Linked DNA regions of Caenorhabditis elegans. The protein of the gene in region 2 interacts with the protein of the main gene of each other region in a pairwise test. Each region holds a gene or a part of one and is shown on either strand. Other genes may lie near its edges. The genes, in order: sup-46, Y37H2A.1, F43B10.1 and scrm-2.

Evidence for each region.
Region 1: the proteins of Y37H2A.1 (region 2) and sup-46 interact in a two-hybrid assay, tested with the Caenorhabditis elegans proteins (one large-scale study listed by BioGRID).
Region 3: the proteins of Y37H2A.1 (region 2) and F43B10.1 interact in a two-hybrid assay, tested with the Caenorhabditis elegans proteins (one large-scale study listed by BioGRID).
Region 4: the proteins of Y37H2A.1 (region 2) and scrm-2 interact in a two-hybrid assay, tested with the Caenorhabditis elegans proteins (one large-scale study listed by BioGRID).

What each region holds. Positions count from the first base shown.
Region 1 is NC_003279.8:10,169,130-10,174,165, forward strand, and holds sup-46 (RRM domain-containing protein), read right to left. Parts: upstream 3,475-5,036; 5' UTR 3,439-3,474; coding exon 3,360-3,438; intron 3,281-3,359; coding exon 2,994-3,280; intron 2,927-2,993; coding exon 2,711-2,926; intron 1,996-2,710; coding exon 1,894-1,995; intron 1,846-1,893; coding exon 1,606-1,845; intron 1,239-1,605; coding exon 990-1,238; intron 937-989; coding exon 745-936; 3' UTR 510-744; downstream 1-509.
Region 2 is NC_003283.11:18,106,449-18,114,296, forward strand, and holds the start of Y37H2A.1 (Deoxyribonuclease TATDN2), read left to right. Parts: upstream 1-1,820; 5' UTR 1,821-1,827; coding exon 1,828-2,025; intron 2,026-2,533; exon of another isoform or gene 2,534-2,594; intron 2,595-3,370; coding exon 3,371-3,676; intron 3,677-4,903; coding exon 4,904-5,208; intron 5,209-6,013; coding exon 6,014-6,263; intron 6,264-7,399; coding exon 7,400-7,505; intron 7,506-7,848.
Region 3 is NC_003284.9:16,651,487-16,656,381, reverse strand, and holds the start of F43B10.1 (EF-hand domain-containing protein), read left to right. Parts: upstream 1-1,870; 5' UTR 1,871-1,898; coding exon 1,899-4,262; intron 4,263-4,895.
Region 4 is NC_003279.8:13,233,826-13,237,201, reverse strand, and holds scrm-2 (Phospholipid scramblase), read right to left. Parts: upstream 1,855-3,376; 5' UTR 1,836-1,854; coding exon 1,473-1,835; intron 1,309-1,472; coding exon 1,066-1,308; intron 1,023-1,065; coding exon 920-1,022; intron 876-919; coding exon 817-875; intron 762-816; coding exon 732-761; 3' UTR 539-731; downstream 1-538. Other genes in the region: ZK1053.2 (uncharacterized protein), read right to left, coding at 2,542-2,751, 2,802-3,055.

The DNA.
Region 1 (5,036 bases), on a different chromosome or scaffold from region 2:
GGCGCACACCCGTTTGTATTTAACAAAAAATTGTCGTGACGAGACCAGGAACGGTATTTTTGGTGCCAAAATTTTTTATTGCCGGTTTTGAAATAAAAACAATTAATTTTTAAAAAAATTGATATAACAGTACTCGTTATAAAGCAGAATTCAGAATCCTTCTCCAAAAGCCTCAAGGTACCGTAATCCAGAGAAAGGCGTCAAAAATGAAAACATAGACAAACGAAAGAAAGTTGTGAGCATACAAATAGACACACACAATGCTCATCATCGTTTTCTCAGCAACAAAGGATTCTTCATGGGCGTGACTATCTTTTGCTCATGAAGGAGAGAGACGTCTTCAAAACGCAATTAAGGGCATACGGTAAAACGTTTGAGCAGCAGTTGTCGCGCGCAAATCAGATTGCGTGAAGCTCTTGTTTGATGCGGGACACACATGCTAAATTGTCTTCTGAATAGCACCTCAAATTGTGCGGCGCTCATCTGAAGACACACTTGTCACGTCATTTATTATTAAAACTTTTATTTGTCACCATCCTGCCAGAGGAAAATATGAGAAATAGTTTTAGAGTGATGAAAATGAGGAAGATGTTTTAAATTATTGAGATTCCGTTGACAAGGAAGCCTTTTTAAAGGGATAAGGAAGGATAGAGATGGAGAAAAAACGGATAAAATAAAGATAATAGATGATGATTCAAGAGAAACGTGAGAAGTTTCAAATACAAATATAACAGGGGGAATGAATTAGGCGTAGTCAACGCTGATCATGCGGCCTTCGACAGTGGATCCATAGAGGGCAGCACGAGCACGTTCAGCGTCTTGGAAAGTTGCAAAACGAATGCGAGCAGCTCCTGGCGCCATCATATCAACAGAGTCGACTTCTCCGAAGTTTCGAACACGGTCACGGACAATTTGCCAGGTATAATCGCTTGGAAGCTGAATAACAGATCATAAATGAGAACAAATTGAAATTTGAATTGAAAACTTACGTTGCGAATGATAATAACCCTTGTTGCCTGGGGTGTCGCAGCACCGGCGAGTCCACCAGCTCCATTGACACCAAAGACGTCAGGTTGAGCAAATGTGGCTCCACCAGCACCACCAACACCAGCATTTCCTCCAAATGGTCCATTGTTCATGACGGATCGGGCAAAGTTGGCTTGTTCAACGACTCCTCCAAAACCACCAGCCGAAACAACTTGTGGTCCACCTACGAATGGGGCAGCTGGAGCTGTGAACTGAAATATAGATAATTAAATTAACTTTTAAAAATTTTATAATTGAGTATTTGTTATCAAGAGTTTCATCGAACATTTTTTGTGCTTTTTTCAGAGAAAGTTCCGTTTGTTCTGAAAATCGAAAAACATGTTTAGCAAATTGGAATATAAAAACCCATTTTTGTATTAAGTTTTCAGATTGTTGATGGGGAAAAACATAAGAAAACATATCGTTTTCTTATAAAAGGCCATTTTTCGAAAAATCAAAATGTTGGAAACCCGAAAATTTCTGTTTAAAAAAAATTAATTTTTCGATTTAAAAAAATCTAAAACCACCATTGAATGCTAGTATATACCACACCGATGAAATTTGTTTTAAATCGCTTACCGGCACTGAAGCATCTCCTGGGAACATTCCATGAACATTGGAAAGTGGTGCTCCTTCTGCTCCAAGACCCATTCCGATTGACTCAAGACCTCGTGGAAGTCCACCTTCTTTGTGCTCCAGTTCCTTATCGAATCTATCCATTTTCACAACCAGATTTCGATCAAAAAGTCGCTGACCATTGAGCATCGAAACGGCTTGTACGGCTTCAATTGGGTGAGTGTATTGAATTACGCATACTCCCTGGAAGACACCATTTATATTTTATAGGAACTATAAATATTAACAAACCTTTGACTTTCCTTCTTTATCAATGCGGAAGTCCATCCAGGTGATTTTACCGGCCATACCGAAGACTTCGTAAAGCTTATCGGTTCCGACATTGAAAGCCAACTGAAAATGTTTGATTAATAATATTGTCTTGGAAACAGAAGTGGAATTTCGGAAATTCTATAAAATGACATATTTCGCCATGTTAAATATAGAAAATCACTTTTTTAAATCTGAAAATAACACTTATTTCAGATAAAACACTTGGAAAAGCGCTTCAAAAATACCAGGATGTTGCAAATTGCCGATCATCAAATTGTTGAATTATCGTTTCTCGGCAAATGGCAACTTTTGGTCATTTTCGCGCACTTTTCCAAATGTTTAAAACGAGATAATTTTTTTTTAATTTTCAGATAAATCAAGTGATTATCTACATTTTCAGACTAATTTTTGATGAAAACTTTTGAAAAAAACATGTCGCAATAGGTCATTTTGTAGCATTTCCGAAAATAATTGCCAACCACCTCTGATTGGGAACTAAGAATGGTATTTAGTAACTGAATTAGTGATGCTATATTTTATTCGTATGATACTGAGAGATCTACCCGGAGGATGCAACTGTCTGAACAAACTATAATAAGCACTGATTCCATTTTGTTGTATATAATTCCACGTAGAAAGCTTCCTACTACTATTCCGTTTAAAAACACCAAAATGAAAAATTGCATTTATTTCTCCCATTCGAATAATTTCATATCTCAAAACTGAGATAAAGACCCAGCAAGTGAACGTGGTCTAGATGTGGAGCCCTTCGAGAAGAAGAATATTTGAAACCTACATTGGCGATGAAGATGCGCTCACAGAGTGGCGGTTCAATGTTGTGTTGGCGAAGGAATTCCATATTGAGACCGAATAAATCATAAGTTCCAGTTCGAGTAGGGCGATCAAGATCTTTTGGTGGAGGACCTCGTCCTCCTGCACCACCACCTCCGGTACGAGACAAGTAATCAATGCCTGTTTCAGTTTTGATGGTTCGGAAGAAAGCATTCGGATCCTACAGAAAAAATAAAAAATGGATGAAAATTTCTGAATGTGAGTGTCAAAATTAAATAGATACGGACCCGAATTTCTTTGGCGATGATGGTTCTTCCCTTCCAGTCGAACTTTTGTAGATTCTCAACGCATTTTTCGGCACCCTCACGAGTTTCGAACTCAACCACAGCGTTACCCTTTGGCTTGCCGTTACGGTCTTCGAGCAACTCGCAGAAAGCGACTTCACCTCCTTTCTCGCGAACTAGACTTTTCAAATCGACCCAACGAGCCTCATAGGCGATATTGGTGATAAAAACCATTCGGTTGTTCGATGATGAGTTCCCATTGTTACTTCCAACAGCAGCGCCGATACGACCTTAAGGAAATGGAAAATAGAGAAGGATTTCTATGGAAAAAATGGTGGAAACGGGAATGAAGAATATCAAAAACTATACTTCTTCTTGGACTTCTGGATCGGCTCCGACGCTCTCGCTTAACATCACGCTGTGGTCCGTCTCGACGATTTCTGTTCATGTTGGCTGATGGAACACGGATCTTGGATTAAGCTTTCTGAATGAGTTGAACTAGAATCAATTAGACGATAAGCAAATGTTTTCATATAACAACGGGCTTCTTTAAAAAACAATTGAAATTTTATTTCCATTTTGATTGCTAACAAGTCGAAAATTAATTGTAACTAAAATAATCTGCTCGCTGAGTGGCCCATTTTTATTGTTGAAAGAGATAAAAGATTATTTACTGAACTGTCTCGCCAATGTAATACTTGATTTGACATCGAATTGAAAAACTATGTTACAACAATGATCGAAAACTTATGCACAGATGAGTAAAAAGTTTTGTGATCGCACCTTATTTGCTTCTTTACTTACAAATAGGCCACTCGAGCAAAATTTGACTTGATATCTTACAGAAAGACTAGAATGCTCTAAACTCTCTTAAAATTCCCGAACCGAAAATTAAGTTTTCAAAAAGAGGAACAATTTCGAAATTTATCTATCGGAGCAATTCTCTGAAACATCTTGGAGATTTTCCGACTGATAATGCATATTTAAGCCGCGAGAACCATTTAGCAAATTTTAAAACAAAAAAACGTTTGATTTAACGAAGAAAATAAAGAAAAATAAATACGATAAAAGAGAGAAAAATCGAAATTCGAAAAGAAGAGACGGCGGCAAACACAAGTGTGCATTTGTGCGTCGAGACGAGCCGCACAGCCGACATCAGATTTGACGCCACAAATCGCCGCGAAAAGTGAAGGCTTTTTCTTTGCTGCTAAGCCAGTATTCTGGATCTTTTACGATTTTTTTTTCATTTTCGATAGCATGGTTCTGTGAAACAAGATCTCTGTTCTCTTTGAAACACTCTATTCTATAATTTATTTTATTCTTCAATTGTTTCTTCCATGTTTCCCTAAAAATAATTTTGTTCGTTAATTGTCAATAGGATTTTTATGAACTGAATTCAGTGTCAAATTTCGGAGAAAGAATAGAAAACGTTTTTTGTGAGATAAGCTGCCTCTCGTTTTGTTTTGCCTCCGCATGACAGATTTATTCTCAATTTCACACTAAAAATTATTAATAATTGTACAATTTAGTTTTGCTTCAAGTTCTATAACAACGCGTTTTTGTTTTTTTTTCACAATTCATGCGCTAGCTGTCCAAAAATATTCAAAATGTTTATAGAATAGGTGATTCAACACCAACATTTCAAACTATCGTTCACAAGTCACATTCCAAATGACTAACGTCCATATAAAGTTTCTGATATTGCTCCAATCGTCCCAAATGTCTTATCATATACACTTCATGACGTGTTTTCCCTATTCTTTCTCTTTTCCCGCCGATGACCATGTCTCTCCCTTCTATTCCTCTAGGTTTCACCATACGAATATCAAATCGTATATACATTTAAAAGCCGACGCCTTCTACCATGTCGAACAGTAATCGCATGGAACTAGTTAGTCTTTTCCCAATCGCCGTCATTTCCCTCACTTTTATTCCTTACACTAGATTTTATTATTGATAGAACTGAAATCTTGGTCTTATGTTAACGACAAAAATCGTGCCTCGTTTCATTTTAAATGCAAAACTACCTGCCGTTTATTGCCGCCG
Region 2 (7,848 bases):
AAAATGAGCTGAAAATCATTTTGGTCTGCTACAGATTTGTGTAGTTTGTAGTCTGGCCACCTAGCCTCAAATTTATGAAATTTTGACATTTTTAGCGAAAAAATAGTGATGGTCTGCTAAATATTTTTGTAGTTTGTAGTCTAGCAGACCCAAATCAAGCGTATGGGTCTGCCAGACTACAAACTACACTTTTCGACTGAATTTCACGATTTTTAAGAGATTTTTAAGAGATTTTCTTAGTTTGTTTCCTGTGAAAATTTACGAATTTTTATCGAATTTTCCTGAAAAATACGATTTTTTTTTCGTTTAAAAGTTCGAGTTTTTACACTCAAAAAATCAACAAAAAAAACGCCGATTTCTCAGTTTTCGCAAATTTTTGCTCAATATCCCTTGAAAAATACGAAAATTGGCTTAAAAACGTGTAGTTTGTAGTCTAGCAGACCCATACGCGGCGATTTGGGTCTGCTAGACTACAAACTACACAAAAATATTTCGCAGACCCATCATTTTTTCGGCAAAATTTAGCTTTTTTGCGTTTTTAACCGGAAATGTGTGCGGATTTTCGGCATTTTTTCGGATAAAAAACTCAAATTTTTCACAAAAAATTCGATTTTTTGGGTTTTTTCCCGAATTTCAAAGTGTTTTCTGGTAAAAAAATCGATTTTCCACTCCATTTTTCCCCATTTTTCCTCGAGTTTTCAGCATATTTTATTGATTGCTCAAGCTTCTTTGTCTTTTCTAACCGATTAACACTGTTTGTGTGTAGTAAACGTGCTCTATCGCCACCTTTTCTCAGGTTTTTTTTCTTAAAATTTTAATTTATTCACAAAAGTCCCTTCTTCACCTGTTCATGTATACAACCTGTGTGTCTATTACTTAATTCTTCTTTAAACATTATGATTATGATTATTGTAGCAACAAAAAAAAACTTAATTTTCCGGCAGTTTCTCGATTTTTTTTCGGTTTTTTTTCGTTAGAAACCCCCCAAATTCGTCATATCTTTATTTTTTTGCTCTTTTTTCTTCGAAAATTTAACTATTTATTGATTTTTTTTTCCTCCGCCATCGTGCTTTAGACACCGACACACCATATATATATATTTTATAAAAATTTCTGCTGAAAATTTCTGAATTTTCATATATTTTTTCACAATTTTTTTTTGGTTTCAACTCCAGAAATATTTGTACTTTTTTTTTTCTGTTTTTCGTCTTTGTTTTTTGTAGTTTATAGTATCCTGATATAGACTACAAACTACAATACCTTTCTTTTTCTGTAGTTTGTGACTTGGTCTGGCAGACTACAAACTACGATATTTCGCGAAAAATTGCGTTATTTTTTTTTTAAATTAAAATCTCAAAAACTGCTCATAATGATATTGCGAATTTGATTTTTTTTTCTACAAAGAAAAACCAATTTTTGTGTAGTTTGTAGTCTAGCAGACCCAATATCAAAAGAATTTTTTTAATACAAAAAAATAGAAAAATTAGAAAAAGAATTCGTTTTTAAATCACGTTTCCTTTAAAAAATCTAACGAAAATCACTCAAATTTTGGAAATATTTACCCGATGGGTCTGCCAGCGTTTTTTGTAGTTTGTAGTCTAGTAGACCCAAACTCCAAATTTTTTGATTTTTGGCCTTTCGAAGCGTTTTTTTTTTGATATTTTTTTCTTAAAAAAGGCAAATAATCACTTTAAATTATGCAAAAAACACGTTTTTTAACTGATTTTTTCTCCAAAATTCTTAAAAAACCGTTTTTTTTTTCCGAAATTTTTCTTGCCAGTCAAAGAAAATCAACGAAATTTAACGCTTTTTTTTTGCAGAAAAAAAATGGGTGAACCAAGACGTTACGGGTTCCAACAGCCGCCGCCGCCGCCAAATTGTTGTGAAGATGGTGGTGGAATAGAAGATGGACTAATTCGAGATTCTGGACTAAATCGGGCCGGATCTGGATCCGGTGGAAGGCCTGTCAGCTCGACTTCTAATGAAAGCTGGAGAAATGTTCCATGGGGACCACCGGGCAGACAGGTCATTAGTTTTGTTCGAGAGGACTTCAAAAAAATTGTAGTTTGTAGTCTGGCAGACCCATTTTCTGAATTTGGGTCTGCTAGACTACAAACTACACGTTTAATCCACGTGTTTCTTTTTTGAAAATTTATAACAAAAATTTTGACGTTTTTAAACGAAAAAATCGTATTTTTCGTTAAAATTCCATAAAAATTCGCTAATTTTCACAAAAAAATCGTAGTTTGTAGTTTGGCAGACCCAAATCGAGCGTACTACAAACTACACTTTTTACTGTACAAAAATATACATTTTTAGGCTATTTCCTCAGTTTTTTTGTTGTAAAAATTGGCTAATTTTTATGGAATTTTCCTTAAAAATACGATTTTTTTTTCGTTTAAAAGATCAATTAAATCGTGGATTTTATTTAACTTTTGAATTCCAGAATTTCAGTGAAAAATTCAATTTTAGCATAAAAACCCGGAATTTCGGCGTAATCTCTCAAATTTTCGATTGGTCTGCTAGCGTTTTTTGTAGTTTGTAGTCTAGCAGACCAAATTTCTGAGAGTAGGTCTGCTAGACTACAAACTACAAAACGTATTTGGCAGACCCATATTTTTTTCGACTGAATGTTGCGTTTTCATGTGAAAAAAATAAAAAAGATTTAGAGGGAAAAAACTCGGTTTCGTACAGAAAATTAATAAAAAATGGGGATTTTTCGTTTTTTCAGACGGTTTTTCGGCGAAAATTGTGATTTTACTCATATTTCTCTGTAAAAATCGATTTTTCAGTCAATGTTCGTGAATTTTCATATTCAAATTGCGAGAAAATTCAAAATTTGGATTTTTCCAGCGAGAAAAAATCAGGAAAACTGCCCAAAATCACAGCGAAATTGACGATTTTTACCTAGTTTTATGGTCTGCCAGACTACAAACTACACAAAATGTATTTAGCAGACCCAAAAAAAAAAATTTCGCGATTTTTTTTTTAATTTTTTCTTGTATTTTTGACCAATTAGCATTAAAATTCGCTAATTTTTCCCCCCAATTCCGAAAAAAAAATTGATTTTTCTCAAAATTTCCCAATTTCCTCCCCCGCTAATGGCCATCTGCTCTCCGAATAACACACTTGGCACGCTGCCAAGTGTCTACCAACAAATCCCATCGATTTTCGCGGTTGGTGAGGGACGAAAAATCCAATTTCCATGAAATTTCTGCCGTTTTTTTTCTAGATTTTCCATGAAAAAATCGGATTTCAATGCCAAATATCCGGAATTTTTGCCATTTTTATTTCAGATTTTGCAGATATTTCACCCTAAAACTATCCGGAATTTTAATATCGGAAACCATTAAAACAATTCTTTTTACAGGGTCCCGCTGTTCACCAACATCATCAAATGGTTCAAGTACATACACGTCGGCTCGGCGGAGCAGCACCAACAATGCACCATAGTAGGCCACCGCCGCCGCCTTTGGACCGACGCCCGATGTCACCTCAAAACGCCTCAAGACCGCTTCCCGTCCGTGGTACAAATTATTCAACGAATGGAGATTGGCCTGATCAACGTCCGACGATTATTCAACAATCGTCAAGAATTAATTCGTTTCCGAATAGACCTGTAGCTAATAATAGTTATCACAATGAGAATATACCATTTAAGGATATTATTCTGGAGGTACTTGGAAATTTGAAAATTTTTAAGCGGCGCGTCGCGGTTGCGTCGCGTTTTTTTTTTTTGAATTTTTGAAAAGGGTAATATGGGTTTTGAATTGAACACACTGTTGAATTGGAGCAGTTCACGCAATTAATAATTGCCGGATTTGGAAATTTTCGGCAAATTTGATAATTGCCGGTTTTGGAAATTTTCGGCAAATTCGATAATTGCCGGTTTTGTAAATTTTCGGCAAATTTGATAATTGCCGGTTTTGTAAATTTTCGGCAAATTCGATAATTGCCGGTTTTGGAAATTTTCGGCAAATTTGATAATTGCCGGTTTTGTAAATTTTCGGCAAATTCGATAATTGCCGGTTTTGGAAATTTTCGGCAAATTTGAAAATTGCCGGTTTTGGAAATTTTCGGCAAATTTGATAATTGCCGGTTTTGGAAATTTCCGCCAAATGTGACAATTGCAAAAAATTGAATTTTTCATGAAAATTCGCTAATTTTCACACGAAACATTGAGAAAATTGGCGAAATTCAGTATGATTCAAAAAATTTAAAATTGTGTAGTTTGTAGTCTAGCAGACCCAAATCAAACAAACGGGTCTGCCAGACTACAAACTATACATTTTCGACAGAATGTTAGTGTTTTTAATGATTTTTTTGCGGGAAATATCTCAAAATTTGCATTTTCTCGGAATTTGAATGTGAAAATTCACCAAAATTGACTCAAGCAATCAATTTTCACACAGAAAATATTGAAATTCGGTAGAATAAAACCCCATTTTTCGCCGAAAACCCCGTCTGAAAATCCAGAAATCCACATTTTCTATCGATTTTCTGTGGGAAACTGAGTTTTTTTTTCCCAAAAATCTGCTAATTTTCACTTGAAAATGCAAAATTTTGACGAAAAAAAGATATGTAGTTTGTAGTCTAGGTTACAAACTACAGTGTTTTGAAAAAAAAAAAAAACTGGAAAATTCAGTAAAAACTGGTTAGTTGGCAGACCCAATGGGTCTGCTTGCTGGACTACAAACTACAAAAATATTTAGCAGACCAAAATGGTTTTTTGCTATTTTTTCGCCAAAAATGCCGAATTTTCTATTGAAAAAACACAGACTCTAAACTACAAAACTGTTTTTTCGCCAGTTTTTACTAGTTTTTCAGCAAAAAATGACTTGAAATTACCGATTTGGGGGGATTTTTTTCGGAAATTCACCCAAATAAACCCGATTTTTTGCAGTTACACGAGCACACTGTCCCATTCATCGATTCACATTGCCACGTTGATTTCATGTACAACCAAATGGTTCATAATAATCCGAATTCATCACTCAGTCATGGCCTATCGCATTGGATTCATCGATATCCATATGGATTTCCGAAATCTTTTTATGGAGTCATTGCGAATTTCATTAAACCTTCGCTTTTTGTTGTGAATGATGGTGGTGGTGGAAATGGATATGATATAGATTGGATTATAAATGAAATTGAATCGAATATCTACTTGGGAACCACTTGGGGATGTCATCCACATTATGCACAAGAGTATGTGTCACTTCTTGGTGTAGTTTGTAGTCTGGCAGACCCAATTTTTTTAAAACGTTTTAGTGAAAGAAGTTGAAGTGAAAATTAAAAATTTTTTTTTTTTGAAAATTGAAAAAAAAAACATAATTTTTCGGCTATTCTTTTTGGAAAAAAATAATAAAAATCGAATTTAATACATTTTTCAATTTTTTTTTGCAAAGAAAATTTGCAAGTTTAACCTTTTTTTATTAAAAATGTACAGAAAATGCACCTTGAAATTAAAAAAAAATCAATTTTTTCCTCCTAAATTGATATTTCTCACTGAATTGTTTGGCTTTCAGGGGAATGTTCTAAAATAGTCAAAAAATCACTTTAAATAATGAAAAAAAACACATAATTTTTGGAACTGATTTTTCCACCAAAATTTTGAAAAAAAAAATCCTTTTTCCCCAAAAATTAAAAATTTTTTGCACTTTTTCCCAATTTTCTTTAAAAAAAACGGGAAAATTTCTCCAAAACTCGTTAAAAACCCAAATTTTCGAAATATCCGATGGGTCTGCTACCGTTTTTTTGTAGTTTGTAGCCTAGCAGACCGATCTACAGAATTTAAAAATTCGACAAAAGATAATATCAGATTGCTTTGGCGAGGATTTTTATTTTATACACACTGATTATTTAAAAATTGAACAAAAAAGTTGTAGTTTGTAGTTTGTAGGCCTGCTAGACTACAAACTACAATTTTCTGTCGAAAATGTTCTATGACGTATGCCAAACTACAAACTACACATGCTTTTGTAGTTTGTAGTCTATCATCAAATAATTACAGATGGGCTTCAAAAGACATCTTCTGGCAGACGCTTGAGCACATTTTATCGAATGCAGCCACGTGGAAGGTGTTGGCCGTCGGAGAGTGTGGACTAGATTTACACCGTTGTATATCGGATCTAGAAGTACAGAAAATGGTATTTGAGAAGCATATCGATTTGGCATACAAGTATCAATTACCATTAGTCATTCACTGCAGAAGTGGACAAAAAGGACGTGCAGAAGAACAATGCCTGCGTATTTTGAAGAAGGTAGCCGCGGAAAATTCGCAAAAAATGGTGGAAAAATCGTGTTTTTTGGAGAAAATTGACGTATGGGTCTGCTAATGAATTTTTGTAGTTTGTAGTCTAGCAGACCAAAAATCATCAATTTTCAGCGAATTGTTCGATTTCTGCTGTCTCGAAGCGATTTTTTTTTGAATGTTTCCCATTAAAAAAGTGTTTAAACGAGTTTTCCTCCAAAATTTTGTGAAAATTTGAAATTTTTGCCGATTTTGGGTATGGTCTGCTAAATATTTTTGTAGTTTGTAGTCTGGCAGACCAATATTCTCGGATTTTTTTTGGAAATTGAAAAAATATTTTTTGAAAAGTTTTTGAAGTTTTTATGAATCCGATTTTTGATGATTTAAATCGATTTTTTTGCAAAAAAAAATCTAAAAAGTGTAGTTTGTAGTCTAGCAGACCAAAATATTTCCAAGCAACGTTGAAAATTTGCAAAAAAAATTGACTTGGGTCTGCTAATTAAGATTATGTAGTTTGTAGTCTAGAATGTTAATTTTATATAACTTTTCTGAAATTTCTGATTTAGAAATCAGAAAATTGCCGAAAAACCGCAGAGCTTACTTTTTTCTCAAATTTCTTAGACAAAAAACCTAAAAATATGGGTCTGCTAGAGTTTTTTTGTAGTTTGTAGTCTGGCAGACCCAAATTCATTTCTGAGATTTTTTTGTGCCCAAAAATTGAGACATTTTCGAAATAATTTTAAAAACAAATTTTGGAAATAGGAATTTAATTGAAAAATCCGATTTTTGAAAATTAAATAGATATTTTGCAATTGGGTCTGCTAAAAAAGTGTAGTTTGTAGTCTGGCAGACCCAAAATTTGCAACAAAAAAAACTGAAAAACTACATTTTTCGAGAAACTACAAGGACATTTCTCTCATTTTTGAAGACTACAAACTACATAATGTTCTTTCTTTGTTTTCATTGTGTAGTTTGTAGTCTTAAATTTTTTTCAAAAATCAAAATTACCCCGGAAATTTCAATTTTTGCTGCAAAAAAAAATTCAGAAATTTAAATTATTGTGTCTGCTAAAAAGGTGTAGTTTGTAGTCTGGCAGACCCAAATATTTCCAGTTTTTTTTCCATATAAGTATCTAAATAATTTCAGAAAATGGACGAAAATCATAAATTCCTGAAAATCCACCGTCATTGCTTCACAGAGACTTGGGAAGTGGCACAAATGTGGATGAAACAGTGTCCGAACGTCTATTTTGGTGAGGAAACCCGAAAAAATGCAACAAAATTGATTGAAAAAGTGTGTAGTTTGTAGTCTAGCAGACCTAAAACCGATGTTTTGGTAAATTTCGATTTTTAACATTTTTCTCATAGAAATCAATTGCAAAAAACCGAAAAATCCAATTAAATTGGTCTGCCAGTGATTTTTTGTAGTTTGTAGTCTAGCAGACCCAAACTCCATTTTTCGCTATTTTTTTCAATTCTAGTGTTTCTAGTGTGTTTTTTGTAATTTTTTGATGAAATAGCGTTAAAATTTGCTAGTTTTCCCCACAATTTTGTGAAAAATTCTATTTTTTCTACCAAATTTTTTAAAATTTCCAA
Region 3 (4,895 bases), on a different chromosome or scaffold from region 2:
AATCCTAGAAACCCTGGAAAATCGAGAATCTTTCAACAATAATTTCAACTCCAAACAGAAAAATCGTTGAGTGCTGCCAAAAAATCATACTTGCTTCTCTAATAAATATTTAGATATTTGGAAAATGTATCCTATGAACTCCTAACAAAATGATATCGAATTTTTTCAAATTTTTTTTCAGCTAGATTTGTTTTTAAGAAGAATTCCACTGAAATTTTGAAAAAAAATGACAAAAATTTGCAAAAATTTGAAATAAGATTTTAGGTACTTGTATTCTAATCCCTCATATTAAAAATGAATTTTTAAATAAAAACGTGTCGAGTTTTTGTATTTTTCGGCTTATAAACATTTAATCATTTCTAAGCCTAAACAGGGAAAATGAACATCACGTTTTATCAGAATCGGAAGATAAATGGAAGTTTAATTAATTTTAAAAATGCGGGGTTTTAATGCACAAGTACCAAATTTTGTAAATATATTCGCTCTTGATTATGATTGCTTTTATTCTTTAGATTGTTGCATTGTTTCCAGGATAACTCAGTCTCATAAACTATGTCCTCCAGAAAGTTTTTTACTGAACAAAATGAAACTTGCTTTGGAACTCCATAGGATCAATTCCTTTTTTCAGTCATTTTTCAGCCGCCGTCATCTTCCATTCCTAAACTTCGCTTTTAATATTTCTCCCGTTCAATATAAAAATAGTGAAACGTAAAAGGAATGATGATTAGGTGACCACGGATTGCACTTGACGAGTGCCCGATAATGATACATCGAGAGAGTGAGAGAAAAAGAGCAGGCGATCTAGCGACAGCTGTCGGGGGTCGTCGAAGTGTAGAAGGACGGACCTCTGAAATGAAAGCAAAAACGTATTCCGTCTCTCCTCGAGAAAATATATACTCCATCTCTTTCTCTCCCTCGCTCTCGCCGGGAGCCCCGTCTACCCGCTGTAACAATACCAGTGTTCTATCGGCTCGTCGCCGCTTTCGCCTCGAAAGTCTTCTCGAGGGGCTCGCAATTTATTGGCTTCTAGACCATTCAGCTTCTTCTTCTTCTTCTTTTTCTGCTTTTTCATTTTCTCTTCTTGCTGCTTCGTCTCTTTTTCTTTTTTACCGCCGACGTTCTGGTTGCACTCGCTCACTACTACCTGTCTTTTTTCGCTTGATCATCGTTTCATCTTTTATCCTCCCACTTTTTTTCGTATCCGCTTTTCTAGTTTTTTAGGATCTAGATTTTTGAATAGTGGTTTTGGTTTTTTAGCTTAAAAACTCCGCTCTAAGAGCTCTTTCAACCTTTTTCGTAGAATTAATGTTCAGAATTCTCATCATCATCACCATCTATCGTTCATTCTTTCATCACATCTTCTTTTCCAAATCTTCTTACAAAATATGTCGCTCCTCCTAAAGGAAAAGTTGTTACTATTACTAATCACTTCAATCTGCAGTTTCTGCTGGTTCAGGCCACTCCTATTCTTCTTCTTTTTCGCACTTTCATTTCAATCTATGTTTTCCCACTAATTGCTACCTGCTAGATACTGATCTATTATATAATTCTATTTTAAGTTACCAGTGGGTTCAAGTTCATTTTATAAATAAAAAATGCAATGCAAATAAAAAATTTTTTAAGTAGTATTTTTCCTCTCATTATGAATCAATCCTCCTTCCTCTATTAAATTTGATTATGATCCTATCTTTTTTCCTTTGTTACCTCTCACTCTGCCTCTCAAGTTTGTTTGATTTGTTGCGTTTTTCCATGTTTTTGTGCATTTTTGCTCCAACTTGCTGCCACCTACTCAACAGTTGTCCTGCAAAATATCTCGTTTCTTTGTTCTTCCCCCGCCATTCTTTTAATCTCTCTTCCAATTTCGGACATCTTTCAGTACTTGCGAGAGCAAAGGGTAAATGTACCATCTTGACGACGACTACTTCGCAAGATTCAACCAGCCGTCGTCCTCGTCAGTGCAGTTTCCATCGGAATCGTTACGGTACGGAGGCAGTGGTTTGGCCACTACAACCACGTTTGGTGCTGAAAACGACCCCCAAACTACTCGTTTCCGGTCGCAGTCGGCCGATAATCGAAGATCAGCGTTTCAACATCAGCCGAGAACAATCTCGGAGGATCACATTCCAGAGCCGTGGAATCAAGGACCACTTCGTACTGCTGAAGTGAACTTTCCGTCCCAACAACGAAGACCAGCTTCAACCACGCCCTGGTCGTCACATTCAGAGTACCACTCGTCACATAACCTGTCAGTACCCTCTTCCTTCTCGGAACACCTTCGCGAAAGATCGCCAGCCAGTGGCTCTGCACTTCTCGACTTACTCTCTCGTTACCCGTCTGCACAGCACTCTGTGCAAAACTCACCAGCCGTGCAAGCCTATATCGACAGAATTCACACGGATCGGGCTCCACCGACACGATCGTATACCTATCAATCGTCCGAATCTAACTTTCCACTAATTGAGTATTCAATTCGCCAAGAAGTCCCAAACGGTGTTCGATCGACAACTTCGGTTTATCAAAACGTGGTTCCAAACGGAAACGGATATCCGTCTCAACAAAGAGTGCAAACAACCTTCACCTCGAACGGTCCGGTAACTTCTACTTTTCATCGCGAATACCACAACTCTACCCCGCATCAATATCAGCACTCAAGTTCGCTTGGTGGTCCTCCTCTGCCACTTCCACGAGAGTCGTCATTGCAACAGCAGCAGCAACAGGCGCACCCGTTCGAAAATCGATCTGAGTTTCATCGTCATCCACCGCCGCCGCCGCCGCCATCTTCCTCTTCATCTCATCAATTTTACAACAACGGAGTACCCGCACTCGCCTCAAGTGCGTCGTCCGGAGGTTTTCGTCAACCCGTGTTTCACGACACGGATCAGTTGGATATTATTGCTCAACGTCTCCTTGATGACAACATGAGTCGAAGCACATCAGAATGGAGCAAATCGTTTGAACAGTTGCAGAATCGGTTTCAAAATTTGGAAAGCGATGACTTGTTGAGTCCATCCGCTTTTACGACCACTGGGTCAATGACTTTGCCACGACGTGGAGCACAGCTGCCAATTTCAAAGTCTTCAAGTAACTATGAAATGAATAGTTCGCTTCTTGGAAGAGCGGTTGAACGAAGAGCAGCTGAAGCTCCAGAACAAAGAAAATCCGGAGCATTGGATAATTTCTGGAGTCAAACCATCAGCTCGAGACCTTCTTCGCCAACAATTCAGAGAATTCCAACAAGTTTAACAGCAGCAGAACGACTTCAAATGTTACAAGAACCAATCGACACTGAAAAAAGGTTTACTCAGAGAGTTGGCAGTGGTCAAGGAGTTGCTGCAAGAAAAGCTGAGCTGATGAGAGAACCATCCGTCGAATACACCGAGAAGCCGAGAACTCCATTGAATCCAGCTTTTCCGTCAAATTCTTTCCTAATTCCAAGTTTCAATGAACTGGATAATGCTGTAAATGAACTCTCAAGAACTGTTCGTGGAAATACATTTGGCGGAACAACATTTGGATCCGTGTCACCTGCACCTGTTGTTCACAATGATTCTCTAAACCGACGAGTTGGAGGTTGCGGTAGATTTCCAACAGGTGAACACGCTTTTAGTCCCCCACCAATTGAGGTGTCTAAGTCTCCTGCTTTGTCACTTCACCGGAAGCTGCACTCTCCATCCCCAACAGATGAGGTCAGCGAGAGCTCTTCAGTGTATCAGATTCCAACAGGACTTCCGCATCCAAAACCGAAGCATAATGTGAAAGAACAACTTCATTTAGCTGGAATTCATACTCCTGGCTATCAAATTTCGCGAACCATGTATCGAAACGGACCGAACTTCCCGGTGCCCTCGACCGGAAGTGTTGCCTCTCGGATCACAGAATTCGAAAAACGACCAGGCACTCCCGTTGTGCAACTCTCGACCACAACCGTCAAATACAACGAGCATGTACCAGTTGCGGCGACCGCTAAAGCTGTACCGCAAACCAATGGCAATATGAGTCCACGGAGCGCGGTGTTTCGTGCCAAACCAGTCATTCACGTGGACATGGGCAGCACATATCAGCACTCGTCGCCGACACCGCCAATCCGTCATATTCAAGTGCATTCGGTTCAGAATCAGAATCATCAACCACTGCAAAATCATCAAAACCACCAGTCCTACCTTGGGAAAGAGCAACATAATCACTACCGTCCACAGTATCAGCAGCAGCCAATTAAACAACACGACATTGCGACCCATTCGATTTTCGACTTCAAATCAAACGTGAGTATTTTTTAGTTCTTTTTTTAAATCCTGATCTTCAATTTCTTATGAGACTGTGGGGTTTTGCTTGGCAAAATCTTGTTAGTGTACTTTCAATCATGTGGGAATAGTGCAAACAACCGCGAAAAACTATCGGGGCTTGTGTTCGGAGATGAAAAAGTATTCTGGATCTTGTTTTCGAGAGAAATGACAGTTTTTAGAACGTGTGCTCTATTTTGAGACGATTTTTGATTGCTGTTTCTATTAGTTGGTTTTTTTTTCTCAGACACCAAAAAATACTTACGTCAATCCTGAGAATTGCACCTTTCCAAAGTATAAAATAACATGTTTTTATAACTCCAAATGTAGTTTTTCCCTTATCTCTGTTTAGTTTAGGTGATCATTTCAATGAAATTTTTTTTTCATTAAAATTGTAACTTTCAAATTATTTGTTAAATAATTTCACAACAATTTTCTGCTTTGTTTTTGGACATTTTCGGAAACGAATACACATTTCTATGACGTCCATTCTCAAGAATTCAGTGTAAACACAAGTGTCAATTTTCGCTGAATTTTATTGTTTCAACTTTGCCTTGTTTGTCATGGAATTCCAGAATTTTAATAAAATTCGAAATAGAGTAGTTGAAAAGTACG
Region 4 (3,376 bases), on a different chromosome or scaffold from region 2:
TAAATTTTTTGAATATAAAATGGCCAAAATTAATCTTTTATTTGGAAAATCTTGGGCTCACTAGCAGTGCAAAAAAAGAAACTTACTTGTTAGAACTGCCTAACAACAGTGATTCGTTTTGTGAATAAATAGGATCTTCCGAAGACATTTTCTTATATTTTAACAAAAGATAAACTTATCAAAAAGGGTTGAAAAATGAATATAGTTCGTTTTGAAAGAATTGGGTTCGGCAGCAGGCTTGCTTCGTAGACATGCAACAAGGAAGTATTCGTGAAAATCTAAGAAGTTGAAAAAGTTGTAATCTTTAAAAAACGTAACTGTGATCTTTATTGCCTCTCGTCTCGTAAATCACGGAATTGAAGAGATGTGCATGGCAGTAGAGCATGTCGGTGGTAACGATACAGGTGAAAAGTAGGCCAAATTTGTATTTATCAGTTTACCGAAAGATTTTTAATCAAAAGATTTCTAGATTTTTAATATCGGAGTTTTCTCCGTTATATATTCAATCGTTCTTGCTTTACGCTTATTGGAAGTGCGATATAATTATAATTATTTTATTTCATTTTGAAGATGTTGAAGAAAAGAAGCAAAGCGATGCAAACGGCGCGTTTGCAAAATGTCTTATTTTAATATACATGCATACAAAGAAAGCACATTATCATTTCATAATTAGAGCTCTGATCGCAGAAAACAAGCGAGAAGTGCATTGCGAGATTTCCAGTTTTTCCACATCAGTTATTATTTTCGAACTCCACGAAATCCTGAAAATAGAGTAATAGTTAAATTAAATTTTGGATAAGAAGCACAAAAACTCACAATCAAAAATGTGGCTCCCAGCAGTATCGCTTTGAGCTTGACATCAAGGTCGATGGGAACTGAAATTCTTTCAACTATTCTTTCACTTTCAAGACTAACTCACAGGTGACTGCAAAAGTGTCGGCATCGGTAAACGCTTCACGCAATAGTCCACCCCACTTCTTGGTTATTGAGCCAATTGGCACGGAGCTGTCGGGAGTTTTGATCTGAAAAGTATGGAGTATTTTAAATTCGGCAAAGTCTTGTCACCGTAAAATCCTTATCTTCACAGCAGCAACTTGTGCAACATCCTTGACCATCAACTAGGAAAATCAGATTTCCATCTTTATCCAAAATGTTATAGAATGAATTCGTGCAACCATATCCTTGAAGGACAGTACCCAGAAGGCCAGTTGATAGTGATTCAATGGTGCATATGTTTTGAAGACCTAGCAAGCATCCACAAAATGAGTCTGCGCAGCATCTTAATTCTCGTTTGACGATGAGCACATTCTTAACAAAACAAATGTTTTAAAAACTTAATTTAAAAGAATTTTCAAGAAACTTTAGGAATGTTTTCCTATTATTACACATCCCATGAAATAATCAGGAGTTAAAAAGTGATAAGAACTCAAGCTTCATGGCTTAGAAATCTGCATCTCTAGGCCATAACTCACCTTGTTAAAATTATCCACAATGTGCATCGTAAAACCTCGTTGCGATCCACAACACTGTCTCTCCCAAGCGTTGGATTCTTCGAACGCATAGTAACACTGCTGTCCATTTTTATTTCTAATAGCATACTTATTTTTACTCTCCCATCCAGTAAGAATCTCAAGAACCTCCTTCACTTGATGCACCATGACCGTGTCCAAGTAGGCAAGGTATTCCAACCCTGCTGGGATTCCCTCAATCGCTGGAAGTGCTTCCATCCAAATTGCTCCGGGAGCTGCTTGTATAGAAGCTCCTGGTTCAGTTGTTATGGCTCGGTCTTCAATTTCAACGTAATCAGGTGGTCCATTATAAAATAGTTGATCCATTATTTCGAATCTGAAACTTATAAAAAACGGGTTGCTGATTGTTTGAAATTGCGCTTAACTAAGCAAAGATTGGTCCGAATTCTTAAATTTCATTTTGTTACAAAATTGGTGCTCAAAAATAGAAAAAATAGATAAAAGAGTTTACTGACTACTCAATAATTTTACTCGGCTCATCGAGCTCTAAAACTGATAAAAATAGAGGTAAAAAAAATTTCGTCGAAATAAACACTTAAAAACGCATATTGATATTTTATAACTCATAAATCCGTGGGGTTTTCTTCAAACACTACAGAAATTACAGTAAAAACTATTGCTTTAGATCGAAAAAAATTGCTGAACAGTTGAAACCGGAAAACTGGTCAAAAGTAGGAAACATTCGTTGTTTTTATTGATGCTCAAAAAACATGAAACAGAGAAAAAGCGGGTTCAGAAAGTGGGACCAGCGAATGTGTTCGGAAAGTGAGAGGCGCATAGACGAAGAGGGAAGCTAGACACACATACTTTGAAAACAGCACAAGGTTCAGGGTACTCGTGTACTAAAAATTGAGAGAATTTTTTCAATTTATAACATTTTCATACGAGAATTCATTTGCAATTACCTAGAAGCTACCAGGGGTCACCACATTTCTCTTGGGAATTATCGAAAATTTATTCCTGAGTCATCAACTAACATTCCATTTAATTCCCTCATAAACTTTATTCATTTTCAGTCAAAATGTAAGTCAGCAGTTCTCTTCGTCTTAACATATCCTCCATGTCTTGGCTTATGATCCACATCATCATCGAGCCTCTCCTCGAACTCTGAAACTTCTACAGGAGCGACATGGGTAGCTGCAACCGGTTGCTTCACACTCTCCAATTCGGATTTAGTTTCGTTAGTGGAAACAGAAGCGGGGGTGTACTTGGATGGTTTGATCTGCAATTTAAAAATTGGAAAAAAAATCAATAACTGTTTTTGTAACTCACATTTTTCCACTCCTTATCAAACTCATCACTTTCCACAGAAACCGATGGTTTAGCTCTACGAGAACTGTGCTCCGTCTCGTGTCCTTTCTCCAAAAGTGCCAACATAGCTTCACGTTCCTCTTCAGCTTTACTGATCATCTTGTGTTTTCGTTGCTTGGCACACACGTACATCCAAATAAGACACAGGGCAATACAGAAGCACCAAATGAGAAGGACAAGGAGTAGGATGTAGATAAGGATGTTCGCATCGATTCCTGTAAGAAAATTGGTAACGGTATAGCTGGCAACAGTGCTGACGAGTTAACTTATAGTTAGTGTAGATACTTTCTCCAGAATGTTGTCAGCTTTCTGGCGCAGTATTTTAGATAGGTATGTGCTAGGGCTTCCATGAAGTCGCCGCAACGGCGCATCCGCTGGCCTCAGCGGTCACCGCGCCGGCCTCACGGCGTCACTCAAGCCGCATGTATCCGAATGTATAGTGAACCCCGACAGTGTCGGCTGCTTCAAATAACTGCCTTTTTGCATTTGAATATATTTTGAATACACATTCGAATACACAGCGGTATCAGCGTGAG